2 linked regions of the Diceros bicornis minor genome follow. The protein of the gene in region 1 interacts with the protein of each later gene in a pairwise test. Links are inferred from orthologs where the notes say so. Each region holds a gene or a part of one and is shown on either strand. Other genes may lie near its edges. The genes, in order: CLEC7A and BNIP3L.

Region 1 (16,296 bases):
GATTACTCCTTACTGGACAATTTCAGAGAGATGCCCTTCTGGTAAGAAAGCTGAGGGAACACTTGTGTTGATAGCATTAAATGGCCACTCAGCTCTTTTGACTATAAAGACCTCCTCTACACTCTTGTTCTCTTTTTTTCTTGGCTCACTCTTTTCTCTCTCCCCATGGCTCTCTGTCATTCTCTCTCTTTCTTTATATGGCCAATAAACAGATTCTTAACCACTTGACATGGTCTCACCTCTCTGAGAAAGGGTATGAAGCTTCGTCTCTCCAGATACTTACAAGTTAGAAGAGAATATTGAGCCATCCTCCCAGAACCATGCTCCTTCAGTCTGATGGCGAGAAAGCCCTATCCAAAATGAATTATCAGGTTGGGACGACACTTGCTTTGCTATAAATTCCTGTAGGGAAACATAAATACAAATACTTGTCAAGGAGACAGAGAGGTAGAGATAGAGATGATAGAGATAGAGAGACAAAGACAGAAGAGATAGAGAGACACTCTTAGCAACATTGACAAAGAGACAAAAGATTGAATCACCTTGGTGAAGGATGCATGCATACACTGGCATCAACCTAGAGAGAAGTGGTAATTCTTGAATGCCATTCAGTGTCGCAAAAGGCATATTTCATTTCTTCAGGGTCATTATTGCTTAATTTTTCAATAAAGAATAGCTCCATAACGTCAAAATTGTGTCATCTCCACTCAAACTACCTGACGAAATCCACAACCTTCTCCTTTTCCTCAAATTGTAAGTAAAAATTTACACGACCTTTGTCAAGAAATGATTCTCATGGGGACGGCCCGGTGGCGCAGTGGTTAAGTGTGCGCGCTCCACTTTGGCGGCCCGAGGCTTCGAAGGTTCGGATCCCAGGCGCTCACCGACGCACTGCTTGTCAAGCCATGCTGTGGCGGCGTCCCATAGAAAGTGGAGGAAGATGGGCACGGATGTTAGCCCAGGGCCGATCTTCCTCAGCAAAAAAAGAGGAGGATTGGCAGATGTTAGCTCAGGGCCAATCTTCCTCAGCAAAAAAGAGAAGGATTGGCATCGGATGTTAGCTCAGAACTGATCTTCCTCACAGGCACACGCACACACAAAAAAAAGAAATGATTCTCAGAGTTACATGACAACTTAAAAATAGTTTAGTCCCATTGCTTGCTTTATGAATAAGTAACCTGGGGTTTAATGATGATATTTGAATTGTTAACAAATATAGTACAATATAGTGGCAATTATAGGAAAGTCTAAAAACCAGAAAGACTTCCAGTCTCATTCTCTTTCTTCGCCATACATCTACTTCCAGTAATTTTCTTATGAACTAGAACTGTTGGGTAAGACATGACAGAAACAAAAACCTGAGAGTAGTGAAAGTAAACGGAGAAGTTGCAGATTGTTTAGATGTATAGTCTAGGATGTTTTCTGACCATTAACCCCTTCTCATAGCCCATCTCAGTTCTATCCCTCGTTCATGATGCATTGTAAGTCTCACTTTTTCCGTAATGCTTTTTGTGTCAAGAGAGATCTCTCTTTGAATTCCTATTGCATTTGTTGCCAATACCAGATATTCAACTTTTAACAGCTTTTGAATTGTTTATTTTTTTCTTACAAATTATATGAGCATCATAATAGCAAGTTTAGTTTTTAAACCTCTTTGCCTTTCCCAGTAGCTTGCAAGGAGTAAAGGATTTATAAATGTATATTAAAATTGCTGCTATTTTTCTTGATAATTATGATGACAAAGAGGAGAATTTTCTATTTTAGTCCACCAAATTTAAAAATTGAAATCCAAACCCACAAAAATGAGTAGTGGTCTGATTATCATAGTCATGCAAACTTGAATCTGTTTGAAAAGATTTGTTTTAAAGTGAAATGTGCTTATTTTTTAAATTAATTAATTAAAAAGAAAAACATATTATATACCTTACCCACTTAGTGCATGCTATTATAACTATGGAGAATATTAAAAAGGACTTTCTCTTAGGGAAAATTATCATTACCTGGAATCTACCTCTATTTTTCTGCTCAATATAGACCACAGATAGTTATAATTGAAGTCTACACTTACTAATTCTTCTGAGCTGTCTATATTCAGGAGATTAGAACCCAGTAGAGAGCATTGCCTTTTACTTATATTCCAGGAACTTAATGATGTGCTAAATAGATAACAGCTGTTCTCATGTATGATCCAGTTAGAGGGACAAGAGCTGGAAAGAACTCCTGGAAATAAAAGATAAGTATAATGAGGTTCATATCATAACAATTCACTCTTTCACTGCGAGCACCATTCATCCTGAGGACACTTACTAAATAATCAATGAATTGCTAATAATATACTTTATTTTCAATTCAAATTATAGGGATATAATATTACAGAGGAGACCACCTTAAAATCCTCCCCTTCATTTAAAATTAAAAAAATTAATCAAGTAACTATAAACAGTGTTTTAGACAGTCAATTCTCCTTTCCTTCTTGACTTGTTTTCCTTTCCTTCAAATTCAGTCTAGAACTCCCTTTCTCAGTCATAACTTTTAAAATGAATTAACTCAAAATCAATCATTGAAGTAGACATTGAAGTAATTAATTTACAGGTGTGAGATCCATTTCAGAATGCAACTTTCCAAATGAGAAAAGTAAAAGAGCAATTATTCACATTATAGAGTATCTCTGTTTTGTATTATTAGCTACTTGATACCAATAGTGATGAGGTATGGGTCCAAAGATAGAAAATTGAAGTCAAAATATTGTCATAGTCAATTATGAGGCAGTTAGAAATAAAGACCAAGAGTATGTAAAATTGTAATGAAATTGTATGATTAAAGAAAAACAAATTTAACTAGAGTTTTCAGGAATACATCTATTAGGTCTATCTCTTTTGTATGTGTTTAATTTAGCCTCAATTCTTAGCACCATTTTCCCTTCTTTCCTTTTTCTCTCTCTTCCTTCCTTTCTGATGTCCTGTTTGCTACTCTAATTATATCACTTTAAAATGTCAACTCCCTAAGGGGAGAGAACACATTTCTCTCCTTCACACCAATTATACAATCTCCTTTAGGCCTAAACACTTATCCAGTGATAAATTAGTTACTGATTTGAAAAAACAAAAACAAAAACTTAGAACTGTTCAGCCAAGTGCATGGGGTGTTTATGATACCACTTTATTGTATATAAGACAGGTGCGTATTATACTGAGATAATACTACTGTGTGCCTTCCTTGAATGCACAATCACTGCATGTAAAAGTACTGTCTTCATTCCCTCTGCTCCAGGTCTTAGCACCAAGAATTATCCCTTTTGAATCAAGAATTCTATTAATCCTTTAACTCTGCCCTTGCCTGCAGTTGTGATAGTCTTGGTAGGAGCCACGTTCTCTTCTAAAGATGATTGTGTAGATTGACTGTGGTTCTCTCTATTTCTTGATGGAAAGTTGTTGCTCTTCAATGGTTTGCTCCCTGAATTGGATCTCCAAAAAGCTTCAGATACCAACAACCATAATAATGACAGGGAAAAAAAAGTCATTCTACTATGTTTGAAAACTAAAATCCCAAATCCCATATTTTTCTTGGAATATAAAGGGATACATTGTTGATTAATGATAAATAGATAATACGTTGCTAATGGAGAAGTAAAGATAGAGATAGACAGATAGATAGATAGATTGACGGGTTACATAGATGGAAAGAAATAACTGCCATGAAGGAGGTGTAGTAAAAAAGAGAAAAATGAAGTACGTAGAGAAGAAAGATTTTGAGGGAGAAAGCAAGAAGTAAATGAAAGAGTCAATTGGAGCCATGATAGATTTGAAATGGTAATAAAGCTATCTTCCTTCCAGTTGAAAATGAGAGCTCCTTGAGAACTCGCCCAGTACCTATAACATAAATGTACTCAATAAACATCTGACTAATTAAGGAATCTAATGAAGACTCTCTGAAGGCACAATAATACTTTATTGACAATACAATGCATGTGATTTAAAATCTAATGTTTGTTCATCCATCACAAAACATCTACTTAGTACTTAGTAAGTGCCTCAGGTAATTGCTGATATATCCAAAGGAGATTAGACTAAAGATCAGGTATAAAACAATTTCCTTAAATCAGGAGACTCATAAAAATAGCTTGTAGTTTCTTTAGAGAATTTATTTCATTAGGAAGATAAGCACCATATTGTACTTCCTTTTTTACCTCCACTGGTTTCCTTCCATTAATTTATCCTGGGAATTCCACAGCTTTGAAACCAGCTATTCAAGGAGGGTAGTAGAACCATGTAGTTAAGAGTATGAGTTTTTTTAGATCATTCACCTGAATTTGCAATCATGATCTCACCACTAACTAGTCTATGACTCTAGAAAAACAAAATAACCTTCCAGACTCTCACATCCCTTATAAATAAAATGAGAATTAATAGTACCAATTCAATAGGGTTAATAATGAGATTAAATTAGATTATGCATGTCAAGCTTTTAAAAGAGTGCCTGGCACATTATAAATGCTTATTAAATATCTGTTATTGTTAATATCCCCCACCAATACTCACCCATGGTACCCAGGACCACAGCTATCACCAGTATTACCAAACATAGGATTCCCAAAGTCACAGCAATGGGACACCAACGAGGAGATGCAGCACAGGTTCCTGAGGAGCCAGAGGGAGCAGAAATTGAAGGAAGAAATAGAATGAGGGATCATGGAGCACTTTAATTCTACAGTTCATCAAAATCTGGCAAATTCTAAAGTGAACCATTAATCACTGATTCCTGGAGAATCTAGTCATGTAGAGTTAGTCTGAATTTTTCCCCAGCTTTAGCATACTTCTTCAGGTTCTGCAACTGTAATTTGAGCACAGTGCTGTGATATCTATGCACGCCTAATTTTAGATCCACATTAATATTTATAGGTCTTGACACTACCAGGATCCTGAAATCTTACTCATTCTTAGAACAGACAGCTTAACGTAGGGGAAATAGCACTGGTTACTAAGGGTAATCTTCCCTTTTCACTCATGTGTTGCCTTGGGCAAATTACTTCCTGTTTTTTCATTTCTCTTTGTGAAAAATTGGAGTAATAATACCTCAAAGGATTATTGTGGGTATTAAATGAGCTAACACACATAAAAGCACCTAGTTTAGAGATTATGAGCACATTGTAGGTAACTCACTGTTTGTTCACACATATGCATAAACACACACACCTCCCTACCTCTTGCATCATCCAGTATCTTCACTATTCCCCAACAGATTGCGCAAGAAAAGAATTCATAAGTGGCAAAAGGAAAATAATTGTGCAATGTGATTTTACAGGAAAGAAGAAGAGAACAAATTCTGATGTCAAAACCTGTAGCAATCTCTCTCTTGATAACAGAGAATTCCTTTTATGTCAACATCACCATAGCAAGAACATAGCTCTGCCTTTGACTGAGAATAAGCAGTAGGAGCATTTCAGAACATTGTCAAATAGAAGAATCACAGAGGGGACTAAACCTCTCATTCTCTAAAAGAGAGATCTTTTAATGCCCTTCTCCATTTTTCACGCCTTTTATATTTTGTTTAAGACTCTTGCCCTGCTAATGGGATCTTTTCATCTAATATATATTTTCTTTCACCGGTGTACATAGAACTTCCTTTTGTTTAAAAAAATCCAAATTCATTTCTTACCATAAAAATCATATCAGATTCAGGATTCTAAACTCTATGACTTCTGACTTCCTTTTGGCCTTTATCACAAAAAAAGTTTGCTTTTTTCCCTCACCTATCTTCCAACTTTTCATTCTTTTTTTTTTTTTTAATTCGTAGATGGCATCCTGGAACCTTTTTTTTTTTTTTTGAGGAAGATTGGCCATGAGCTAACATCTGTTGCCAATCTTCCTCTTTTTTTTTCTCTCGCCAAAGCCCCAGTACACAGTTGTACATCCTAGTTGTAGGTCCTTCTTTGATTTTTTTTTGTGAGGAAGATAGACCCTGAGCTAACATCTGCCAATCCTCCTCTCTTTTTGCTGAGGAAGACTGGCCCTTGGCTAACATCCATGCCAATCTTCCTCTACTTTATATGGGATGCCACCACAGCATGGCTTGACAAGCGGTGCGTCGGCGCATGCCCGGGATCCAAACCTGCGAACCCCGGGCTGCCTCAGCGGAGCGCCACACCTAACCACTTGCACCACCTGGCCGGCCCCTGTAGGTCCTTCTATTTCTTCTATGTGGGATGCTGCCTCAGCTTGGCTTGATGAGCATTGTATAAGTCCACGCCCAGGATCCGAACCGGCAAACCCTGGGCCACCGAAGAGGAGTGCATCAACTGTAACCACTATGCCACCTGGCCAGCCCCCATCTTTTCATTCTTCTCTCCAATATCCTGATGTTGTTCATATACACTTATTTAAGTTTCCTCGACCTCCATTCTACAATTTACTCCTCTCTATCAAACAACAACAAGCCACTCCTGTTGAAATTCTTTCATCTCTGCATTTCATCACACTTATTACAGGTCCTTACTGCTGAAGTGTCTGTTTCTACAGAGCAGAGAAATTGTATTTTCTGCCATCAGAATAATTAATTTACATACTAGTTATTAGTCACTGAATGATTGCCAAGAGAAAAGGCTTAGTTACATTCAAATTATCTTCAATGACTTCTGAAAACCTTTTAAAACATATTAATAAAAGCCCTACAAATCACAAGTCTCTCATATTTTCTCCCCTTATGGGTTTTAGTTGATGAGAATAAGAATGCTGAAGGCAGAAAGAAAAAATACCTTTCTCTGAGACCACACGTCTCCTGGCGATGCCTTGAGAGCTGAAGTCTAATTGAGTATATCCATCTTCATCCACATTTTCTAACTCAGAGTGGTATTCCATTGTTCTCCTGGGTTCCCGAGTTGACACAGCATTTGAGAGCTCTTTTCTCTCTTCTCCTAAGACAACTGCCTGTGGACAAAAGAGGATCTATGAGTCAAATCATGTGGGAGAGGTATTTACTGAGGTTGAACAAGAGCTTAAGTTGTCCAACCAGCTATCCAAAAGCAGGAAACGAAAACTCTGCCATAGCAATTTCCCATTTGTATCTTTAGATCCTGTTTCTGAGACTAATGACTCTTAAAAAAATAATAAGGCAGCACAATGGATAGATCTTTGTTTCAGACAAAATGTGAGAAAAATGAAGAGACTAATGTCTTATGCTGCTTTCATTATTCTCACAACTGAATTTGACATCATTAATTGACTTGGTCTATATAAACTATTAAACAATTTTGATACCTCGAGTTCACCAATACTTCGCTATAACTATACATTAATTCACTTATTCGTGTAGTCGCTTGTTCAGTAAACATTTTCAGAATGCCCATCTTTTCAATTGGCGGGAGCTGGGGATACAAGGATAAATGATACCTGTGAAGAAGCTCTTTGTCTAATAACAGGAAACCTACAGATAGGTATATGAAGGATGCCATAAGGAGGTGCACTGTTGTAACAACAGAGAGAGGAAACAAATCTCTTTGGGATTTGTCAGAGATTAACATGAAGTGGTAAATTATTTATTGAACAATTACTATGAGCTAAGTACTACCCATTACACATGTTTTCTCATTCAATCTCAGTTTTCCAACAAGTCTATGTGGGAGGTATTATTCTTATTTTCAAATGAAGAAAATGAGACATAGAAATTTTAGTCCCTTGCTCAATTTTAAGAAGCTAATAAGAATATTGAAGAAAGGAATCAAGTCAAAGTCTACTCGCTGCAAAACTCATGATCTTTTCTGTTATGCTACACTGCCTCCTTCACCATTCCATACACTTATATTGCAAGTAAGAAGTTATGGAGGATTCTTGCACTGAAATATTATGCTAAATGTTTGATTTTTTTCCTCTCTTCCAATTTCCATAGTAATGTCCAAATTAATGAGATACGGAAAACACTTACCACTGCTGGAAACTACAGAGGTATCCAACCTGTTTACAAGTCTTTGAAGCAAGTAGCATGAAGGAGACATCTGACTGTTGTCAAAGATAGACCACGCCAGACACTCATTAAAGCGGTCAAGACAGATTTCCTTCAGTAATACTATTACAACAGACAAGAGAGCCCAGCATGAACTGACCCAACTTCCCCAAAACAAAGACTGGAGACTTTTTAAAGGCTGGAGTATGCGAAGGGAAAGGCACTGAGTGGTATTAAGGGGGGTTAATCCGTGTGACTGGGCCATCTGAATTTGTTAATTGGTGCCTCTCCAGAAGAGAAATGAACTTCTGCTTTTATGACAGGAGGCAATGGTGCATGTTGAAGGATGGTGGCCCCCTCTGAAGTTAAGCCCCTATCTTCCCACAGAGAGTAAAAGTCCCTAACTCCCTGAATGGTTGCATTTCAAAGAGATGGCTCTCAGGTCCTGAAGAAACTGTTTTGGGTGGTAGATTTACATCTCAAAGGGCAGAGAAAGGATCTATAATTGCAAGCTTTCTAAAGTAACTGCTCTAAGAGGGGCTCCAGGGACCTGCCTATCTGTCTATCACCAAGTTTTGACTAGAACAAACAGTAAATTCTCCTGGAAGCATTGAGCTTTCTGAAGTAGGCATTTTACGGGGGTCTGGGGTGACGCTAGGGACTCAGCCTTAAGCTGTTAGAAGCCATGCCGGAGTTTGTCACGTCTCTTAGTGCAGAGGTTTGGACGGAGGTGTTATACGCCGAGAGTTCTGCAGTTCTCACTAACAACATGTCCAAATGGAAGAGAGTGCAATGGAAAATAAGTGAGTTTCTACGTCTTACCCAGGCTGCCACAAAAGTTTTACTAACTTTTTGTAGACACGTTGCAAAGTAGTAAGGTGGATCTAATCTCAACATCCATCAGTTCATCAGCTTTCACTTCTATAATGCAGCCCTCGGAAAGCAGAGGATAGTTGGAAAGCAGGGGATTTTTCACAGAGTGAATAAATTGGCTCAAGGAAGAAGTGAGCCTACTAAACAAAACTAGAGAACAACAATGAGAAGAGCACCTTCCAGGCAATAAAAAGAGGCTGGCTTTTTACTGTCAATTCAGACTTTCCAATGAGAGAACTTGACGTAATAACTTTATTTTTTATGACTACTTTCCTCTATTTAATCACAATCCTACAAGAACAATTGGCTCTTGAAATTTTTTCAATAAATGTAAACTTTAGTCTTCTCTTTTTGTCTGAGACTAAAACAATTGAACAGCGATTACACAAATTATGGATAAACTAGGAAAAAAAGTCCCTTAGCATTTCAAGGGGCAGGGGAGGGTTGGAGACAGACAGTCTAAGTATTCACAGAAAACTACCCCTGGTTAAACATTAATGTAAGAAACAGGTGAAAAACAAACCAACCTAAACAAAACAAACAAAACCCAGTAAACAACAATTATCTAATTCATATTCTCAGTGAAAATTTGATGAAAAATTGCATCCATACAGCAAGTTTTTTCCTCAAAGAAAAATGAGGAATCTGAGAAGAGTTCTTAGAAGTGAAAAACACATTTTATAAACTAAAACTACAATTAATTGAATCTGAGTCAGATTGAATATAATGTCAATAAAACAATCGAAAGAACTGCATTCAGAATAGCTAAATTAGCCTGGTCATGCTCTTATTTCTACAAATATTAAGCTGTTGTTAACAGTAGTATTTGCTTTCAGAATTAAATCTCAAAAAATAAAATTCTTCCCAAATAAATATCTATTTTGATAGATGCACTAGAAAGAGTGTTAGACCAGCAAAAAGAAACACAAGAGAGCCTGAGGCATATATCCAATGTGACTTTTTGGAAAATTTATACAAATAAATGAATAAAGAGAAATGAATAAATATACAAACTTATAGAAATAAATGAATAAATTAATTAAATAGAAAACAAGATTATTAAAAACAAACTAAGTATTCACTTAAGAACCATTGTAGAAAAAAAAATGTAAGTCTTCAGGATACCAACATTCCAAAGTACCGTCCCCATTAATGTTTATAAGTTTCAAAAAAAAAAAAAATCATCAGGGGCCAGCCCCGTGAAGTAGCAGTTAAGTGTGTGTGCTCTGCTGCTGGCGGCCTGGGTTCGGATCCCGGGTGTGCACCAATGCACTTGTTAGGCCATGCTGTGGCGGCATCCCATATAAAAGTGGAGGAAGATGGGCATGGATGTTAGCCCAGGGCCAGTCTTCCTCAGCAAAAAAAAAAAAAAAAAGGAGGATTGGCATGGATGTTAGCTCAGGGCTGATCAAATTTCACCTCCAATTTGAATGCTAACTTGAGTCTCCTTCCTTCCTCCCTCCCTTGCTTCCTTCCTCTATCTATCCGTTAAGCAATTAAATATCTACTGAACATTTACCATCTTCTCAGAAGCCTAGATACAAGGAAGCATGAGGCCCAATCCCCACCCTGATTGGTTCCACATCATATTTGGAGGATACAGACAAAAAAATTTACTTAAATCATTTATGTATGTATCCCCTGGTTTGGGCACACCACGAAAATTACTTAGCTTTATTCACAGCACCCTTTCAGTGTTATTTTTATGCTTTCTACAAATGAAGTAATTGATATTGAGTCCTTTCTTAGAGTGTCTAAAAATTTTTGATTAAACCAAAGGCTCTCTTTATAATCAATAGATACTTCATAGTGAAAATGTGCCCCTCACCATCTTTTCCCCATCCACCTTCTCTTCTCTGATTCTGTTTATGCTCCAGCTACCCTACTGTTCCAGTGGTTTCCTGGTTCCAGTTTGCTACGTTGTCCACATACCACATATAACCTCTACTATCCCTCCTCCTTTGAGCCCCTCTTCTACTGTTTTACTGAGGAGAGAATGTATATAGTGCACGTAAACATCAGTCTCATATGGCACTTGTATTTAAAACTTCCCATTCTTCTCAAGGAAGAGATGATATTTATGTGGTATTTTCTTATTGTTAGATGCTTATAACTCTGTTCCTCATGACTCCTTGAGTTCCTTGAACCGTGGTGTATCCCGCATATTCAACACCTGGAGCAGTTCATTCTTTCTTTTTTTTTTTTTTTGAGGATGATTGGCCCTGAGCTAACATCTGTTGCCAATCTCCCTCTTTTTCTTTTTTCTCCCCAAAGCCCCAATACATAGTTGTATATCCTAGTTGTAGGTCTCTCTAGTTCTTCTATGTGGGCCGCCACCTCTGCATGGCTTGATGAACGGTGAGTAGGTCGGCGCCCAGGATCCAAACTGGCGAACCCCGGGCCAATGGAAGTGGAACGCATGAACTTCACTACGCCACTGGGCAGGCCCCTCATTTTTTCTTTTTTACTTCACTCTCTTCTATATAAAAAAATAATATTCAGTAATAATCATGAAATGGAATAAATGGTAATAACGGCCAGAAAACAAATATAGGTAGTGAATAGTTTTTATTCAACTTGATATATAAAATCAGACCAGTAAAAATAAAAGTGCATATAAATGTGTGCATTGACATAAAATAAATATTATCATACAAACTACTTTTAATTATATGGATAAAATATTTTCAATCATATTAACATATTTTTTGGAAAGGGAGAAAGAATTTATACCCTTATATAGGTATGTCACCATAATAAATAATAATATTACAATTTTTGTTTTGGACCCTTACTTTCTCAAAATTTGCCAATGACATTGTCAAAAGTAATCTTTTTCACATGTTCACATTGATTAGATAGTGTACCCAGAGTCATCAATTTATCTTTGCTCATTATTGATTGAAGACCACTTTTTGTTCATTTTAATTCTGAAAAGTTTCTTTCACTGAAGCCACAAATAGGTAAATAGGAAAAAGATGTATACATAGCATATGTGTGGCAAAGATTTAAAAAATCCTATTTCACAATTATTCCAGAAATTACAATATTGCCCATGTCTTTATTTCTTCAGGATCAATTTTAGAAGCTGTCAAATGTCTCTGCAAATTGAAAAATTGTATAAATACAAATAATAATTACAAATGGTCACATAGAAGGACCATTGAAGTAGCTCAAGTTCTGTTTATTTGACTTTATAATCACTGTGCAATGCTATCAATGTTTATTTTAAATCTACACTTTAAACACAGAAATATTCCATAATGAGTCGTTACAAATAAGGAAAACTGAGTAAGTGGTATTCTTTTTTTTTTTTTTTACTCTTTTTTTTTTTATTGGTTTATAACATTGTAAAAATTTCAGGTGTACATCATTGTACTTCTATTTCTGCATGGACTACATCATGTTCACCACTAAAATACTAATTACAACCCATCACCACACACATGTACCAAATTATCCCTTTCACCCTCCTCCCTCCCCCCTTCCCCTCTGGTAACCACCAATCCAATCTCTGTCCCTATGTGTTTGTTTATTGTTGTTATTATCTACTACTTAATGAAGGAAATCATACGGTATTTGACCTTCTCCCTCTGACTTATTTCACTTTGCATTATACCCTCAATGTCCATCCATGTTGTCACAAATGCCTGGATTTCATCGTTTCTTATGGCTGAGTAGTATTCCATTGTGTATATATACCACATCTTCTTTATCCATTCGTCCCTTGATGGGCACTTAGGTTGCTTCCAAGTCTTGGCTATTGTGACTAACGATGCAATGAACACAGGGGTGCTTGTACCTTTGCAAATTGGTGTTTTCAAGTTCTTTGGATAAATACCCAGCAGTGGAATAGCTGGATCATATGGTAGTTCTATCCTTGATTTTTTGAGGAATCTCCATACTGTTTTCCATAGTGGCTGCACCAGTTTGCACTCCCACCAGCAGTGTATGAGAGTTCCCTTTTCTCCACATCCTCTCCAACACATATTGTTTCCTGTCTTGTTAATTATAGCCATTCTGACGGGCGTGAGGTGATATCTCATTGTAGTTTTGATTTGCATTTCCCTGATAGTTAGTGATGTTGAACATCTTTTCATGTGTCTGTTGGCCATCTGTATATCTTCTTTGGAGAAATGTCTGTTCAGGTCTTTTGCCCATTTTTTAATTGGGTTGGTAGTTTTTTTGTTGTTGAGATGCATGAGTTCTTTATATATTTTGGAGATTAAGCCCTTATCAGATGTATGGTTTGCAAATATCTTCTCCCAATTGTTAGGTTGTCTTTTCGTTTTGTTGATGGTTTCCTTTGCTGTGCAGAAGATTTTTAGTTTGATGTAGTCCCATTTGTGTATTTTTTCTATTGTTTCTCTTGCCCAGTCAGATGTGGTGTTTGAAAAGATGTTGCTAAGACCGATGTGGAAGAGCTTACTGCCTATGTTTTCTTCTAGAAGTTTCATAGTTTCAGGTCTTACATTCAAGTCTTTAATCCATTTGGAGTTAATTTTTGTGCATGGTGTAAGGTAAGGGTCTACTTTCATTTTTTTGCATGTGGCTATCCAGTTTTCCCAACACCATTTGTTGAAGAGACTTTCTTTTCCCCATTGTATGTTCTTGGCTCCTTTGTCAAAGATTAGCTGTCCATAGATGTGTGGGTTTATTTCTGGGCTTTCGATTCTATTCCATTGATCTGTGTGTCTGTTTTTGTGCCAGTACCATGCTGTTTTGGTTACTATAGCTTTGTAGTATATTTTGAAATCAGGGAGTGTGATACCTCCAGCTTTGTTCTTTTTTCTCAGGATTCCTTTAGCTATTCGGGGTCTTTTGTTGCTCCATATAAATTTTAGGATTCTTTGTTCTATTTCTGTGAAAAATGTTGTTGGAACTTTGATAGGGATTGCATTGAATCTATAGATGGCTTTAGGAAGTATGGACATCTTAACTATGTTAATTCTTCCAATCCAAGAGCACGGAATATCTTTCCATTTCTTTGTGTCTTCTTCAATTTCTTTCAGAAATGTTTTATAGTTTTCGGTGTACAGATCTTTCACCTCTTTGGTTAAGTTTATTCCTAGGTATTTTATTCTTTTTGTTGCAATTGTAAATGGGATGGTACTCTTAATTTCTCTTTCTGCTACTTCGTTGTTAGTGTACAGAAATGCAATTCATTTTTGTATGTTGATTTTGTATCCTGCAACTTTACCATATTCGTTTATTACTTCTAAAAGTTTTCTGGTGGATTCTTTAGGGTTTTCTGTATATAAAATCATGTCATCTGCAAATAGTGACAGTTTCACTTCTTCCTTTCCAATTTGGATCCCTTTTATTTCTTTCTCTTGCCTGATTGCTCTGGCTAGGACTTCCAATACTATGTTAAATAGGAGTGGTGACAGTGGGCATCCTTGTCTGGTTCCTGTTCTTAGAGGGATAGCTTTCAGTTTTTCACCATTGAGGATGATATTAGCTGTGGGTTTCTCATATATGGTCTTTATTATGTTGAGGTACTTTCCTTCTATACCCATTTTATTCAGAGTTTTTATCATAAATGGATGCTGGATCTTGTCAAATGCTTTCTCTGCATCTATTGAGATGATCATGTGATTTTTGTTCTTCATTTTATTAATGTGGTGTATTACGTTGATTGATTTGCGAATGTTAAACCATCCCTGCATACCTGGAATAAATCCCACTTGATCATGGTGTATAATCTTTTTAATGTATTGTTGTATGTGATTTGCTAGTATTTTGTTGAGGATTTTCGCATCGATGTTCATCAGTGATATTGGTCTGTAATTTTCTTTTTTTTGTGTGTTGTCCTTGTCTGGTTTTGGTATCAGGGTAATATCAGCTTCGTAGAATGAGTTAGGGAGCTTCCCCCCCTCCTCAATTTTTTGGAAGAGTTTGAGAAGGATAGGTATTAAGTCTTCTTTGAACATTTGGTAGAATTCACCAGGGAAGCCGTCTGGTCCTGGACTTTTATTTTTGGGGAGGTTTTTGATTACTGTTTCGATCTCCTTACTGGTGATTGGTTTATTCAAATTCTCTACTTCTTCTTGATCCAGTTTTGGAAGGTTGTATGATTCTAAGAACTTATCCATTTCTTCCAGATTGTCGAATTGGTTGGCATATAGCTTTTCATAGTATTCTCTTATAATCTTTTGTATTTCTGAGGTGTCTGTTGTAACCTCTCCTCTTTCATTTCTGATTTTACTTATTTGTGCCTTCTCTCTTTTTTTCTTGGTGAGTCTAGCTAAAGGTTTGTCTATTTTGTTGATCTTTTCAAAGAACCAGCTCTTGGTTTTATTAATTTTTTCTATTGTTTTTTTAGTCTCTATTTCATTTATTTCTGCTCTGATTTTTATTATTTCCCTTCTTCTACTGATTTTGGGCTTTGTTTGTTCTTCTTTTTCCAGTTCCTTTAGGTGCATTGTTAGATTGTTTATTTGAGATTTTTCTTGTTTGTTGAGATAGGCCTGTATCGCTATAAACTTCCCTCTTAGAACTGCTTTTGCTGTATCCCATAAATTCTGGCATGTCGTATTTTCATTTTCATTTGTCTCCAGGTATTTTTTGATTTCTTCTTTGATTTCTTCGTTAACCCAGTTGTTGTTCAGTAGCATTTTGTTTAATCTCCATGTATTTGTGGCTTTTCTGATTTTCTTCCTATAGTTGATTTCTAGTTTCATACCGTTGTGGTCAGAAAAGATGCTTGGTATTATTTCAATCTTCTTAAATTTATGGAGACTTGTTTTGTGGCCTAATATGTGATCAATCATGGAGAATGTCCCATGTGCATTTGAAAAGAACGTGTATTCTTCGGTTTTTGGATGGAATGCTCTGTATATATCTACTAGGTCCATCTGTTCTAGTGTGTCGTTTAAGGCCAATGTTTCCTTATTGATCTTCTGTTTGGATGATCTATCCGTCGGTGTAAGTGGAGTGTTAAAGTCCCCTACTATTATTGTGTTACTGTCTATTTCTGTTTTTATGTCTGTTAATAATTGCTTTATATATTTAGGTGCACCTACATTGGGTGCATAGATATTTACAAGTGTTATATCCTCTTGTTGGATTGTTCCCTTGATCATTATGTAATGCCCTTCTTTGTCTCTTTTTACAGTTTTTGTTTTAAAGTCTATTTTGTCTGATATGAGTACTGCTACCCCAGCTTTCTTTTCATTGCCATTTGCGTGGAGTATCTTTTTCCATCCCTTCACTTTCAGTTTGTGAGTGTCTTTAGGTCTGAAGTGTGTCTCTTGTATGCAGCATATATATGGGTCTTGTTTTTTTATCCAGTCAGCCACCCTATGCCTTTTAATTGGAGCATTTAGTCCATTGACGTTTAAAGTAGCTATTGATAAGTATGTACTTACTGCCATTTTTTAACTTTTTTTTTTTCTCAGTGTTTTAGTAGTCCTTCTCTGTTCCTTACTTCTTCTATACAGAATTGATGGTCACTTTAGTTTGACCTCTGTCTGAAAGCTGTACTCT
Region 2 (16,431 bases), on another chromosome or scaffold:
CAGATGGCAAGTAAGCATATGAAAAGATGCTCCACATCATATGTCATCAGGGAAATGCAAATTAAAACAGTGAGATACCACTACACACCTATCACAATGACCAAAATCCAGAACACTAACAACATCAAATGCTGGCAATGATGTGGAGCAATAGGAACTCTCATTTATTACTGATGGGAATACAAAATGGTAGAGCCACTTTGCTATGGCAGTTTGGCAGTTTCTTACAAAACTAAACCATATTCTTAGCATACGTAGGATCTAGCAATTGCACTCCTTAGCATTTATTCAAAGGAGTTGAAAACTTATGTCCACGCAAAACCCTGCACACAGATATTTATAGCTTTATTCATAATTGCCAAAATTTGGAAGCAAGAGGTCCTTTGGTAGGTGAATGGATAAACTGTGGGACATCCAAACAATGAAATATTATTTAGCACTAAAAAGAAATGAGCTACTAAGCCATGTAAAGACATGGAGGAACCTTAAATGCATATTACTAAGAGAATAAAGCCAATCTGAAAGGCTACATGCTGTATGATTTCAAATATAACATTCTAGGAAAGGCAAAACTATGAAAACAGTAAAAAGATCAGTCATTGTCAGGCATTGGGGGTGGGAGGAGGCTGAATAAGTGGAGCATAGAGGATTTTTAGGGCAGTAAAAATACTCTGCATGATATCATAATGATAGATACATGTCATTACACATTTTCTCAAATCCAGAGAATGTACACCAAGAGTCATCCTTAACGTAAACCATGGACTTTGAGTGATAATTATGTGTCAGTGTAGGTTCATCAATTCTAACAAATGAACCACTCTGGTGCAGAATGTTGATAATAGGGTAGGCTATGCATGTGTGAGGTCAGGGGGTATATGGGAAATCTCTGTACCTGCTTGATATTGCTGTGAACTAAAACTTCTCTAAAAAAGTAAAGTCTATTAAAAAACAGAAAAAGAAAAATGAACAGAGCCTAAGACACCTGTAGGATGCCATCAAGCACACCATCTTATGCATAATGGCAGTCCTAGAGAATATTTGAAGAAATAATGGCCAAAGACTTCCCAAATTTGATAAAAGGCACAAATCTACATATCCCAAAAGCTCAATGAACTGCAAAATGGTAAATGCAAACAAATACACACTGCCACACATTACATGCAAATTGTTGAAAGCCAAACACAAAGAAAGAATCTAGAAAGCAACAGAGAGAAGTGATTCATCACACACAAGAAATCCTCAATAAGACAACAGCTGATTTCTCATTAGAAACCACGGAGGCAAGAAGACAGTAGGATAACATTTAAAGTGCTGAAAGAAAAACTATCAACCAAGAATTCTATATCTGGCAAAACTATCCTTCAAAAATGAAGACTGAATTAAGACATTCCCAGTTAAACAAAAGCTGAGAGAGTTCATTGCTAGTACACTTGCAGTTCAAGAAATGCTAAAGGAATCCTTCAGGGGGAAATGAAATGATATTAGACAGTAACTCAAAAACTTAAGAAGAAATAAAGAACTCTGGTAAAGATAAGTACACAGGTAAACATAAAACTAGTGTTGTGATTTTGGTCTGTAACTCTTCTTTTTGTTTCCTATAAGATTTAAAAGACTAATGCATAAAACAATAATTATAAATCTAGGTTAATGTGCATACAATGAATAAAGATATAATTTGTGACAATAACTACATAAAGGGGAGTGGAGCTATATAGGAACAGAGTTTTTGTATGTTAGTGAAGCTATATTGGTATCAATTCCAACCACATTGTTATAAATTTAGGAGGTTAAATGCAATCGCCATGGTAACCACTGAGAAAATATTTGAAAATACACAAAAAAGGAAATGAGAAGAGAGCCAAAACTGTACACTGCAAAAAAAGTCAATTTAATGAAAAGCAGTAGTATTGGAAGAAATGAGGGGAATAAAGGTATGATATACAGAAATAATTAGCAAAATGGCAGAAGTGAGTCCTTGCTTACCAGTAATTACTTTAATTATAAATGGATTATACTGTCCAATCAACAGGTAGAGATTGGAAAAACAGGTTTAAAAATTTTCATCCAAGTATATGCTGTCTACAAGAGACTCACTTTAGATCCAAAGACAGAAATATGTTGAAAGTGAAAGGATGAAAAAATATATTCCATATAAATAGTAACCTAAATAGGGCTGGGGTGGCTATACTAGTACTAGACAAAATAGTCTTTAATTAAAAAATTGATACAAGAAACAAAATAGGTCATTATATATTGATAAAAGGGTCAATTCATCTATAAAATATAACAATTAAAAACATATCCACCAAAAAACTAGAGCCCCCAAATATATGAAGCAAACTTGGAGAGAATTGAAGGGAGAAATAGAAGTTTCCACAATAATAGCTGGAGGGTTCAATACTCTCACTTTTAATAATTTATAGAACATATAGGCCAAAGATCAATAGGGAAATAGAAGACTTGAACAACAGTATAAACAGTATAAACCAATAACAGACATATATAGAACACTACACCCATCAACAGCAGAATATATATTCTTCTCAAGTGCAAATGGAACATTCTCTAGGATAGACCATATGTTAGGCCACAAAACTAGCCTCAATACATTTAGAAAGACTGAAATCATGCAAAATATCTTCTCTGACCACAAGAGAACGAAGCTGGAAATCAATAACAGAATGAAAACTGGAAAATTTGCTAATATGTATGGATTAAACAATACATTCTTAAATAACCAGTGGGTTAAAGAAGAAATTGCAAAGAAAATTATAGAATACTCTGATGGGCATGAAAACAGAACCTAACATTCCAAAACTTATGGGATGCAGCCAAAATAGTACTCAGAGGAAAATTTACTACTGTAAATGCCTATATCAAAAAAGACCTCAAGCCCATAACCTAACTTTATGACTTAGGAAACTGGAAAAAGAAGACCAAGCTATACCAAAAGCTAGCAGAAGGAACTAAATAATAAAGGTTAGAGCAGAGATAAACATAATAGACAAATAGTAAAACAACAGAAAGAATCAATGAAACCAAAAGTTGGTTCCTTGAAAAAATCAACAGAATTGACAAACCTTTAGTTAGACTAACTAAGAAAAAGAGAAGAATCAAAAAATTAAAATTAGAAATGAATTTCTGGGGACATTATTAACAACAAAACAGAAATAAGAAGAATTATAAGATATACTGTGAACAATTATATGCCAACAAGTTACAAAACCCAGATGAAAAGAATGAATTCTTGAAAGACACAAATTACCAAAACCCACTCAAGAAGAAATAGAAAATTCAAGTAGACCTACAACAAGAATAGAGATTGAATCAGTAATCAAAAACCTCTCAATATGAAAAGCCCAGGATCAGAAGGCCTCACTGGTGAATTCTACCAAATATTTAGAGAGGAATTAACATCTTCTCAAACTCTTCCAAACAATGGTAGAAGGCAATTTCTACTTCCTAACTCATTGTATGAAGTCAATATTACCCTGACACCAACAACTGACAAAGACACCACAATAAAACTACAGACGAACATCCTTTATGAATACAGATGCAAAAATCCTTAACAAAATACTAGCAAACTGAATCCTATAGCATATTAAAAGGATTATACACCATGACCAAGTGAGATTTACCCCAGCAATGCAAGGGAAGTTCAACATAAGAAAATTAATCAATGTAACTGATAGAATGAAGGAAAAAACCCACATGATCACTCAATTGACACAAAAAACACATTTGACAAAATTTATCTTTTCATAATAAAAACACTCAGAAAACTGGGAATAGAATTGAAATTTCTCAACATGATAAAGGGCATTTATGAAAAATCCATAGTAAACATCATACTCAATGGTGAAAGACTGAAAGCTTTTCCTCTAAGATCAGTAAGACAAGGATGCCTGCTTTCACTACTGCTATTCAACATTGTACTGGAAGTTCTAGCTAGAGCAATTAGGCAAGAAAAAGAAATGAAATGCGTCCAATTAGAAAGGAAGACATAAAGCTATCTGTATTTTCACATGACATGATCTTATACATAGAAAATCCCAAAGAATTAAAAAAAAAAAAACTACTAGAGCTAATAAACAAATTCAGCCAAATTTCAGGGTACAAGATCAGCACAAAAATCAGTTGTCTCTATATAATAGCAAAGAACAATCTGAAAAGGAAATTTAAAAAATAACTAATTTACAACTGCATACACATGAATACCTAGGAATAAATTTAATAAAGGAGATGAAAAACTTGTACACTGAAAAATATAAAACACTGCTGAAAGAAATTAAAGAATATCTAAATAAATGGAAAGACATCCCATCTTCATGGATTAAAAGACAATCTTGTTAAAATGCTAATACTACCCAAAGCAGTCTACGTGTTCAATGCAATTGTATCAAATTTCTAGAAAAAAACAGAGTAGAAAATCTTTGTGACATTGAATTAGGCACAGATTTCTTAGATATGACATCAAAAGCACAATCCATAAAAGAACAAATTAATAAATTGGACTTATCAAAATTGAAAACTGTTCTTCAAAAGACACTGTTAAGAGAAACAAAAGACAGGTACGTGTAGTGGGGGAAAAATCTTTGTAGAGGCACGTGCCTGATAAAAGATTTGTACTGAGAATATATAAAGAAATCTCATAACTCAAAAATAAGAAAACAATTCAATTTAAAAAATGTGTAAAAGTTTGAACAGACACTTCACCAAATAAGATATATGGATGACAAGCACATGGAAAGCTGCTCAGCAGCCTTATCATGAGAGAAATGTAAATTAACCCACAATGAAACAATACTGCACACTACGAATCAATGAAGCTAAATTAAAATTAACACAGTACCAGGCACTAACAAGATTGTTGAGGAACCAGAACTTTCACACACTGTTGGTGGAAAGGTATAGCCACTTTGGAAAATATTTAGGCAGTTTCTCAAAATGTTAAACATACTCCTACCATATGATCCATCTATTTTCCTCCTGGGTATTTACTCAAGAGAAAAGGAAATATATGTCCATACAAGGATTTGTACATAAATGTTCATAGCAGCCATATTTGAAATAGCCCCCAATTGGAAACAATGCAAATGTCCATCAATGCATAAATGGAGAAACAAATCATGGTATATCCATTCAAAGGAATGCTACTTAGCAATAAAAAGCAATGACCTGTTGATATACACAACAATGTAAACGAATCTCAAAATAATTATATTGAGTGAAAGAAGCCAAAACAAAAAAAGTAATGTATGATTCCATTTATATAAAACTCTGTACAATGCAAATTATGGTAACAGAAAGCAGATCATTGATCACTCGGGAGTGAAAGGAAGGGAAGGGCATTAGGCGGCTGGCCCGATGGTGTAGTGGTTAAGTTCTCATGCTCCGCTCCCATGGCCCAGGGTGCGCAGGTTCAGATCCTGGGTGCGGACCTATGCACCACCCATCAAGCCATGCTGTGGCGGTGTCCCACGTACAAAAAAAGTAGAGGAAGATGGGCACAGATGTTAGCTCAGGGACAGTCTTCCTCAAGCAAAAAGAGGAAGATTGGCAACAGATGTTGGCTCAGGGCCACTCTTCCTCACCCCCCTCCAAAAAAAAAATTAATTAAAAAATATTAAAAAAAATAAAAAAGGCACTAGGGAAATGTTGGGGATGATGTATATGTTTACCGTCTTGATTGTGGTGATGGTTTCACAGTGTATATGTAAGTCCAAAGATATCAAATTATGTACTTATAAATATGTAATTTGTTGTATGTCAATTACTGTGCAAAAAAATTGTTTTAAGAAAAAAATCTGCAGCCAACAGGTCAATCTTTTAGAAGATGCATTACCTTAGGAAATACTATCATCAGGTGGAACACTTCAGCTAGCCAGAGATAATTGTACAAATTGTGGCACTAGGACCCATAATGAGCTGTGAATCTATAACTACAGAACAGAAACTAAAACAAACATGGGGATTATGCTAACGACTATTGTAGATTATATTATTGTTCCCAATTCTTTATCCTCCTGGAATGCACTCCCTTTGCAATGTGACTTTGCCGTTGGCTATCTGACTTGCTTTGGCCAATGGAATGTGCATGGAAATGATAGTTACAGAGCTGCATCTGCTCATTTTTCTTGAGTTTCTTTCGTCATCGTGAGAGGAACATGCCCTGGCCAACCCATGGTCCAAGGAGGATGACAGACAGGGGAGCTGAGCTGGACCAACCCTAACCTTGGAACCAAATCCACCTGAGCTGAGTCTATATTAACTATCTTTCAATTGCACGAGAGAGAATAAATGTTTCTTGTTTAAGCCAGAGAGTTTGGAGTGTTTTATGACACAGCATGATTATGGCAATATCTATAGGGCACATATACTACGATGTATAAACTCTAATAATATTGAAATGAATAATTAACAAAAGTAAGTAGTGGTGGGGAAAAGGGAGAAAAGTAAGAGATAGGGCAAGTATGCTACCTTATTTCTACTTGTCAAACTTTATCATATTAAGTTGATAAATCAAGTGATCGATGTACAACTATATCTAAAACTACAACGGTATTAAGGTAGAATATGGTTAACTAAAAAATGGGTAGTAGAGAGAAACATAGAAGAAGAGGAATTATACTAATTTCATTATGGTTCCTTTCTGGGCATTAAAGAAACTGTCTAAAGAAATGGAGGACTAAAGGAATTATATAAATATATAGCTATAAAGGGAAATCATTAAACAAAAATAAAAATTTCTAAGTCATAAGATGAAATATATTATAAAACAAATAGGTCCATAGTGAAAAATATTTTAAGAGATTAAATGGAAAGCATGATATAAAATAACACTATTAAATCCAAATACATTTATATTATCAATAAATATAAATGTGTTAAACTATCCTATTAAAAGAAGAAAAATTCTGATTAGGTCCTAAAGCAAAGACTACTTTTTGAGTTATAAGTGACACACCTAATAGAAAGTGATTCAGAAAGGTGGAAAATTAAAAGGAGGGGTGCATCAAGATGTTGCAACTAAACAAAAACAACAACAATAATAAAAACCAGCATCATGATTTTAATAACACACAAGGTTGAACTGAGGACAAAATTTTAACCACTTCACAGTGATAAAGAGGCAGTTACGAATATTTGTGCATCACATAATGAAGCATCGACTATAGTGAAAGGAGATAGAAGAAACAGAAACATACTAGGAGTGGGAAATATTAATTGACCTCTTGGAATTGATGACACATAAAGAGGGGAAAAATACAAAATTTTAAATGACATTATTATTAAGGTAGTTCTAATAAATACATCACACCTGATACCTTGAACACAGAAACTACACCTTCTTTTCAAATACTCATGGAACATTCCCCAAAAGGAACCACATATTAGGCCCTAAAGAAAACCTAAGAAAAAACTCCAAACTAGAAATAGTGCAAAAACACACTCTGACCAGGGAGAAATTCTTAAATACCCAAATAATTAAAGAAAGAATGAAATAAGCATCAAATGAGGAGTGGTGACTAATGAGTACAGGGTTTCTCTTAGGGGTGACAAAAGTGTTCCAAAATTAGACTGTGGTGAGGGTTACACAACTATGTGAATAGGATAAAAACACTGAATTGTGAACTTTAAATGGATTAATTGTATAGTATATGAATTATATCTCAGTTAAGCTGTTAAAAAAAGGGTTAAGAATACAATTAGGAAGAAGCAATTAGATTTTAAAAAGGCCCTAAAATAGATAAACCATTAGGTAATACAATCAAGAAAAAATAGAGGACAAATAACACAACATTAGAAATAAAGGTGACATCCTGTAGAAACAGAGCTAATCCCCCTAAAAACACTAGGTCCAGATGTTTCCTTAGGAGAATTCTAACAAATCCTTAAAGAAAAGTAATTTCAATGTCATCTACGTAAGACCATAGAAAAGGGAACTTTCTAATTATTTTTTACAAAATGAGCATGATTGTACCAAAACTCACAAAAGATCAAAACATGTTGAAGACATTTTTGAAGAAGTACTTTTTTTTAATTAAGAAAAATAGAATGGGAAAACAATTTTGTAAATATGTGAATTATCCCCCCCAATTAATTTATTAATTGAATACATTTATGACCAAAATCTTAAAAGAATCTGCAATGAGATTTGACAAATCAATCCTTTAAAAAAACTTTTTAGTATGAAATTTTTCAAGCACATTAAAAAATTGGAAGAATAGTTTAATGTATCCATCACATTACAGTTAATGTAGCCATCATTACCTTCAATAATTACCAACACATGGTCAATCTTAGACAAGTCAAATTTTAAGTTCATCTTAAAAGTAATTAAACAGTCATGAAAATTTTTAAAACGATAAATGAGGAGAAACTTTCTCTAATAGTTATCAAACAGAGCTATTGTAGAAAGGCCTGAAATAGACTCGGCTTTTTGTGGGAATTTAGAATGTGATAAAGGTGCAATTTCAAATCAGCATGGAAAGGAAGTCTTAAAAATTAATAAATATTGTTGGGTCAATTAACTACTCAATTAGGAAGAAATGAAGTTAATTTACAACATATCGAAACTAAATTTCAGATGGATTAAATATAAAAATTAAACTTAGTAAAATCAGAAAAGTTATAGGGAATAGATTCATAACCTTGGTGTGAGCGTATTCCCAAGCCATACAAAAATTATAGATTTGATTACACGAAAATTTTAAACGTCTGCAGAGCGAAACAAAGTTAAAAGACAAGTGACAGTCTGAGAGAAATATATGCCACATATAAATCAGACCAAGGAAACTGGACAAAGATATGGATACATGAAGTAGGTGTAGTGTTTAAGCACAAAAAGTAGTTTCGTGCTGCCCACATATAGGAAACATGGCTTCTCGTGTTATGTCCCAGAAATAAATTAGGTGATGGTATTTGGGTGATTATTTTCTTCTCTATCTTTTCCTAAAATTTTCCAATTTTTACAATGATCTCGAGTTACATTTGTAATTAAAATCTTTGAAATTCCTTAACAACAACAAAGTCTGGCCTGCCTTATGTTGTTCCCTGTTTGGAGTGTTAATGTTCCACCAGCTTTGCTTTAGTTTATGGCGGGGAAGGCAGCAGGGTTTTTGCTTCCTTTGTGTCACCATGATACCTATTACAGAAGTGAGTCCTTACAGACATTAAACAAGAAGTGCTCACGGATTGGCTAAAACAATGCTGACCCTGTAGGTGTGGAATATTTTGTTGTCAACACATGAGCACCTTACACTTCCTCATTACACACTTCTCCCTAGCCTCTAAGCCCAGTTCCAGCCGCATAACTCACTTTATCAGACCAGTACAAATAACACGCAAGAACTCATTCCTGGCGCGCGCGTCAGCGTGACTCTCGCGTCTCCACGTCCGGAGCCGGCCTGGGAACGCCCGCGCCCCGCCCCGCAGCTTGTTGTGTTGTCATCACGTGGCTGGGGCGGGCCCTGACGTCAGGGGCAGGGGAGGGACTGCGCAGGCGCAGAAAAGGGGGCGGGGGACTCGGCTTGTTGTGTTGCTGCCCGAGAACCAGAGACGGTCCTGCTGCGGCCGCAGCTCTTCCAGCCGCCCGACAATGTCGTCTCATTTAGTAGAGCAGCCGCCGCCCCTGCACAACAACAACAACAACTGCGAGGACGGTGAACAGTCTCTGCCCCCGCCAGCCGGCCTCAACAGTGAGTGCGGGCCGGCGGGCTCCGTGAAGGGGATGGGGGAGGAGGAGCTGCTGTGGCCGCCGCTGCCAGCTCCGCGCGCGGGGCGGGAGGAGAAGGCAGCCCATTGGTCCAGGCCGAGAATGTGAGGGTGACTGACAGCTCCCGTTACCTGTCAGGAGGAGTGCTCTTGTCTTCCTTTTGACCTGTCTCCCCTTCCTCCCGGGGTTTTGGGTGAGGGGCTGCTGGGGTTAGGTGTCGGGGAGGGCAGGTGGGTGGGAAGAGAATGGGGACGAGCCGATCCCACCTGTGGTGGGCCCCTGAGCGGAGCCAATCGGGGCGTGGAGGGGCGGGCCTCAGGCGCGGGGAGGGAGGGTGGGCGGAGCGGGCGGCCGAGGGGACGTGGGCAGGGATGGGGACGTGCGGCGGGGACGCCGGGGGATGGACGCGGCCGGCCGGCCCAGGGGAGGGGGCGCCCGAGGGATGGCGGGCGGTCAGGTGTGCGACGGGGCGTGGGCCGGCCCCGCTGACCCCACCTCCCTGGTCGGCCTTCCCTTAGGGCTCGAATGTGAGCCCTCTTGTCGCGGGCCTTTGTTACCGCGGGCTGGTCAGGAAAATCATTTGGTAATTTAGTGGTTACTTGTATCACAGAGAGGTGGGGTGAGGAGCCTATGCTACCCTTTTTTTTTTTTTTTGAGATTTTTCAGAGTTACTCAAGTGTCTTTTTTTTTTTTCTTTTTGTTTTTGAAGCGATGGGGTTATGTGCCCTGTAAAACTGTTTATGAACAGCCTCTTGAGCCATCCAAGATTGCACAAATCACGGAGTCTGGGGCAATGAATTTTCAGAAACAGGGATTAAAAAGACACACACACGGGCGATTGAAAGTTACTGGGCAATATTGAGTTGCGGTCAGCTACAGTTGCTTTTCAGAACATTCTGATGCCCAGACATCTTGTGCTAAGGTGGTCCCTGTTGTCTTTAGAGCTCGGAGTCTTTTTGAATACGTTCTTGCCTAACCATTCTGTAATTCATCTCATGAAAGAGGTAGTTGGGACAGTTACCATATGGCTAGATGAAATCGTTTAAAAATCATTTGGGTGCTTAAATGACGTTTAAAGGCATTGCTATGTATTTCATCAGAGGGAGGTGTTGCAGCATGGCCTAAAGATTATTTTAGGGAAGAGAGTTCCTGTCCTCACAAGATAGGGATAGAATTAGAGTATTTTAAGATGTTATCATTGCTTATTGCTGTTGCTCCATCTTTTGGTGGATAAATTTCTTAAATGTTGACTTTTTAAAACTTTTGTCTATTTTATGTTCTAGAATGTAAGATTTATATATTATTTCCCGCAGTAAATTAGGATTAATTTATGTCTTTGAATGTTATTTGCTTCACATATTAATATGCATTTTTAAATTATTTACCCCTTTTTAGCATACTCTTCAGAAGCATGGGATTTTAGAATGGGAGGAGACTTGAGAGAGAACTCGCCCGTGTTATTTACCCGTCTAAAGTGTGCTGTCCAGATTCACAGCAGGCTGGCACCTAGAGCTGAGGTTTTTACTTTTACCAGACCTAGTGCTCCTTTCAGGACACTTCAGTGGCCTAGAATCCCCTGGTTGTGTGGGTTTCTTGTTCTCTCAGCATGTTATTCCACCTAATGTACAGAGGTGACCTGCCTATCTCTTTTTAATATACCGTTTTTTAATTGTACCCAAGTGTTTTCCTATGATACTTGTGTAAGTTGGGTGTTTGGTTACCTGTGTGTACATTTCACAGAAAGCAGAGGAATTTTAATTTTCCTTTGACCATTTAACAAAAAAATGAGGTTGAGCTATATGTGATTGTTTGACTCTGAGTCTCACAGCCCTTTGAAGTATTTGATGTCCTTGGCCAATCAGTAGCTGCTGCGTGTATAACAGCTCTTACAGAAGTGGAAGAACACTCAGCCTGTGTGGGATATCAAAATGTTGCTTTGGGAAATCTGCTAGATAGAAAGTGTTGTATTTGGGGTAGGGTGAGCTTTTAAAAGTGACTGAAAAGCTTTTATTTAGTGCCATATTTCATTCCTCGCCTTTTGCCTTTTACTGGTTTTTTTTTTTTTTTAGCTCATTATACAACACTGGACTGAACAAAACAAGAAGGCTTATTGATTCCTTCAAGTGATTTTTGAGTGCGGAGCAAAACAACTTATTCAGGCATCTAATACTATCCTAATTGCTGATAAGTTGAAGTTCTTTGTTGGGTAAAGTTGCACAACTAAGAAAAACAGGAGATGAACTCATTGTACAGATTATCCTTGGCTTGGGATTTTATCTTTAGTTCAGAGGTCAAAGCAGAGTTTTAATAGCAAATTATTGAAATATGTGGAATAATGAAACCTTTCTCTGATTTTTTTTTTTTTAGTTTAGCATTGTAGGAGGACTGTACACTTTCATTACAAATTAGTGGACAAATATCTGAACTACTTCCAAAGTTAAAAGGATATTTTCCAGTTTCCAGTTGTTAGTTTTATTCCTGAGAAAACTATCAAGTTACTTAAGAATATTTGTTTTGGACATTTATGTCTTAAAATTCAGTCAGTAATATAAGGAAAATCATGGCAGTAGAATTTTGTTATTGTTTATTGTAGGAAGAACAGCCTTTTATTTTCTTTTTAAACATCTTCGACCATGGTATACTTGCTTCCCCAGTGTGGCAAGAAGGCTTTTAAGGCTATGACATGTGAAACTTCACTGCCTTGTGATACTGTTTTGAATACAAAAGTAACTGGTGTGTAAGTACCTACTTGTGCAAAAGGACAAACTTTGTTTTTAGAAGAATGTCAATGACAGTTCTTGATCTGGATTCAATCTTCAGGAACTTGAATAAAATAAAGGCTTTGAGGAAAGAAGATAAGACATAATGAAATGTGTTACCCCTGGTTAGGATAAGAGTTACATGTGGGACCTTGAAAAGTTGGGGAAAAAATCAGCAATACTCTTTCTCCTTTTCTCCCCTCCCCCACCCCCTAGCTGTCCCACTCCCCTTTTTGCAAGAGCATTGAACTGGTGATTATAAAACTATCAAGAGTATGTACAACATACAGTCATGAATGTAATCACAATTATTGTACCAGCCTTCATGATGCGTACTATATTAGAGAATGTAGAAGCATGCTTCTCCGAATCTCTTAACAGTTCTCAGACTTAAACTGGAAAATATCTCTTGTATTGTGTATGTGTACAGTCTGGCATAAGAGAACAGTTTTTGGTGTGTAAGTAGTCTTTTAACAAAATAGAGCCTCCAATTTTTCGTTTTAAAGCTTTTTAGGAAGAAAGTTCACTCAGCTTTTTTTCAACTTTGTATTTCTTGGACAGCACAATCCTCATATCTTGCGTTGTTTCCTTTTCAAGTAAAAAGCGACATTGTGAGAATTGGTAGAGTTAGAACATCAAGAAAGTCTGAGGCTGTAAATCAGGAATGAACGAGGTGATGAGAAAAAGGCATGTGTAGTTCATCTGTAGTGGAAGACAAGCCTGCTTTTTTCCATTTTACTCAAAAGATAAAGCGAATATGTAACCCCTTAATGAATATCTGTCCTAACTTTCCCTGCAGCACTGTTTATTCCCTTAGATGATATTTCTGGAAGAGAATTATTGAGTTAAAGGAAATCTACCTTTTTAAGGTTCTTAATACATATTGCTAAATTACCCTCTAGAATGTGCAGGGAAGCCCTGGTTGTAATAACAAAATATTAGAAACACTCCTGTGGGTAATGATTAACCACTGCCATTTGGATGATGGGTAAAGTGTGGTGTATCTTTATGATGGGATACAATGCAGCTGTCCAGAAGACTGAAGTAAGGCAGTACGTGTGGACATTGAAGGACATCTACAAGCTGTTAAGGAAGAAACACTGTTTACAGAAAAATATGTACAATATGATTCCATTTTTTTTTTTTTTGGAAAATGAAAGCAAAACAATTATATTTCATTGAAAAACTCTGCAAGTCTAAATGTGAAACTTAACAGTGGTTTCCTTTGGGAGTAGATGTGGGAGGTTGAGAGCAGAGGTGTTAAAAACATCTTTACTGATGTATACATTCTCAAGGAATACAGTAATTTTGCAATAAGAAATGTTTTTTAAAAGATACAGAGTATAATTATAATAGTGATAACACCCAGCACTTAGCATGTACTAGAGACTTTGTGTACTTTTCTATGTGCTTTATTCATCTCCTCCTCCAAACAATGCTATGAGGTAGATAAATTTTTTTTTCTTATGTGAAGGGAACAGTATTTTTTTTACTGAGATATAATGGACATGGAATATTATATTAGTTTCAGGTGTGCAGCATAATGATTTGATTTTATATGTATTGCAAAATGATCACCACGATAAGTCTAGTTAACATCCGTCACCACACATAGTTACAAATTTTGTTTTCTTGTGATGAGAACTTTTAAGATCTGCTCTCTTAGCACCTTTCAAATTTACAATACATTATTGTTAACTATAGTTGCTGTAGTTTGCTGTACATTACGTCCCCAGGACTTATGTATCTTATGACTGGAAGTTTGTACCTTTTGACCACCTTCAGGTAGAAATAGTTATTATCCCTATTTTAGAGATGAGAAAATTGAGACACAAAGAGGTTAAGGAACTTGTCTAGGGTGTAACAGCTGTAAATGATAGACTGGGAGTCCAGCTTCAGCCTGTGCTCTTAATCAGTGCACTAATACACGCCAAATAAATGTTGTCTGCCTGGAGTAGAAATCCCTTTGGTTCTGCTATAGGGTGTTAAAGCAATTATAGAGATCACTTTTGCTAAGCTTTTCTATGTATGTCTCCTCAAGTTCCTAGATTCTGATTGCTAACATATTTTTAATGCAGAAAGTAGGATTTAGATATTGGTTTGGAAGTCCTTCAAAAAAGGAAGGTCCAGAAAACCTGATATTGTTACAGCCTTTTTCTGTTTGATCAGCTACTTCAAGGGAACATTAATTATATTTTAGGGAAGCCTGGCTTCCTCAGAGACCCATCTGGAGCTCCTGGTTCCTTAGTTCTGCTTCTGCCGGAGCAGCTCTTGCCTTTGGCTTGTTTTTGTTTATGGCACACATTGGCCTTCTGTACCAGAAAACTGGTCACGTTAGTTTAATATAAGTTTGACAATCCTAGAAACAGTGGGAGTAGAGAAAAACGGTTTGGATATATCTCTCTCTTTCTCTGTCTCTCTTTCCAATTAGAATATTTTGCAGAGCTTCAAATTTAGGGATGCTTTTACTATATTTCTTATACACTCCAGAGGCGCTCCAAATATTTAGTCAAATTACCTGCAGTATTAGATCTGTCTTAGCTTTGTTGAATTTGTTAATCCAGTATGAGTTCTATCTAGTCTTTCCATTTTGTGTAGCTAGAATGAGACCACGGAGATATCATACAACTATGTTGTTTGGCAGTGTAGTCCCAAAGAACTGGTGGTGACTGTGAGGCTGTGACAACCACTGGGACTACCTTAGAGGGAAAGGGAGGGAAGGGTAATTTCGTTTTTATTTAGCAAACATTGTTCTGAGTACTTTACAAATACAAACTCTTAACTAGTGATAATTGAGCATCTCCTGTTTACTAGGCACTTTACCTATGTTGCTATGTTTCATCCTCACAGCAACCCTGGGAGGTAGGCATTGTGATATTATGTCTGTTTTACAAATGAGGAAGCTGAAGTTCAGAAAGGCAGACCGACAGATAGCGGTGGAGTCAGATTTCCAACCAGGTTTGCCTTTGAGGTTATCTGGGATAGTCATCACCTCGTTGAGAGAGCATGTTAGGGTTTGAGCCTGTGTGGTGATTATTCTGATTTACTGATGGAGGACTGTTCAGCGACAGAACTCTCTTAACTCTTCTGCTGTGAGTTTAGAGGAATGGCCCCACCAACCTGCTTGGTTACATTTTCTAAAACAAAAATTTGTTGTAAGGAATGGAAATTATGAAAAAAATACACCACTATCTCTATTTGTTATTGAGTTGGTTAATTTGCTACTGTTATCATAAAATTAAAGCACCTTAATGGGTTCAGCGAACTCATTTGGCCAATAAATATTTTGAAGACTTATCCAAATTACTGAGGCCACGTCCCCTTTCCTGTGGCTCCACCCCTTCCACTGTTGGCCTGAGAAAACGTCAGTGTCCCTGTGGCGGGTGCGCAGTTGTTTTTCCCCTCAGACCAACAAGGCTAATGAAAATCCTAGAAAGATAGGAACTCGCGGGAGAGAAAAGACAAGTTGACAAGGTGTGTTTTGTGCTTAGGGAAAGGAGGAAGAATAGAAAGAGTGAGGTATAAAGGAAGAGAAGAAACTACTTTGTGGGACGGAGGTAAAGCTTTCTCAGAATTTTTAGCATCGTCACCTGATTTAGTTAAGAGCCAGCTGCATTAATTTTATGCTCCAGATCTGTACACAAATAGAAATTTTTATGATTGTATTTAAGTTTCCTCTCTAGGAGCTTCTCAATTGTTTGTGCTAATTAAGACATAGTTGTTAACTTAACTTAGGTGACCTTTATGAAGTTTCTAAGCCATATGTTTATTTCATTTGTGGAGAGGATGCAACTAAATAGCTGAGGTAGACTACAGAAAAAAAATATATGTAACTAAAATATTAAAGGTAAGTAACCTGTCTGGTAGTAAAGTAGCTATTTATTTTTTCAAAAGCAACCTGAAAGTTTTCAGTAAAGTGTTTATTGTATCTAAACTAAGCTTTAACCA

What was found.
Region 2: the proteins of CLEC7A (region 1) and BNIP3L interact in binary tests that used the Homo sapiens proteins (3 or more experiments, as listed by UniProt). The two-hybrid records come from large-scale screens. The link is inferred for Diceros bicornis minor from reciprocal best matches to the Homo sapiens genes CLEC7A and BNIP3L.

What each region holds. Positions count from the first base shown.
Region 1 is NC_080756.1:52,027,849-52,044,144, reverse strand, and holds the start of CLEC7A (C-type lectin domain family 7 member A), read right to left. Parts: upstream 8,069-16,296; 5' UTR 7,918-8,068; intron 6,924-7,917; 5' UTR 6,855-6,923; coding exon 6,752-6,854; intron 4,638-6,751; coding exon 4,539-4,637; intron 3,475-4,538; coding exon 3,337-3,474; intron 2,221-3,336; coding exon 2,069-2,220; intron 403-2,068; coding exon 284-402; intron 1-283.
Region 2 is NC_080750.1:67,536,478-67,552,908, reverse strand, and holds the start of BNIP3L (BCL2/adenovirus E1B 19 kDa protein-interacting protein 3-like), read left to right. Parts: upstream 1-9,535; 5' UTR 9,536-9,607; coding exon 9,608-9,707; intron 9,708-16,431.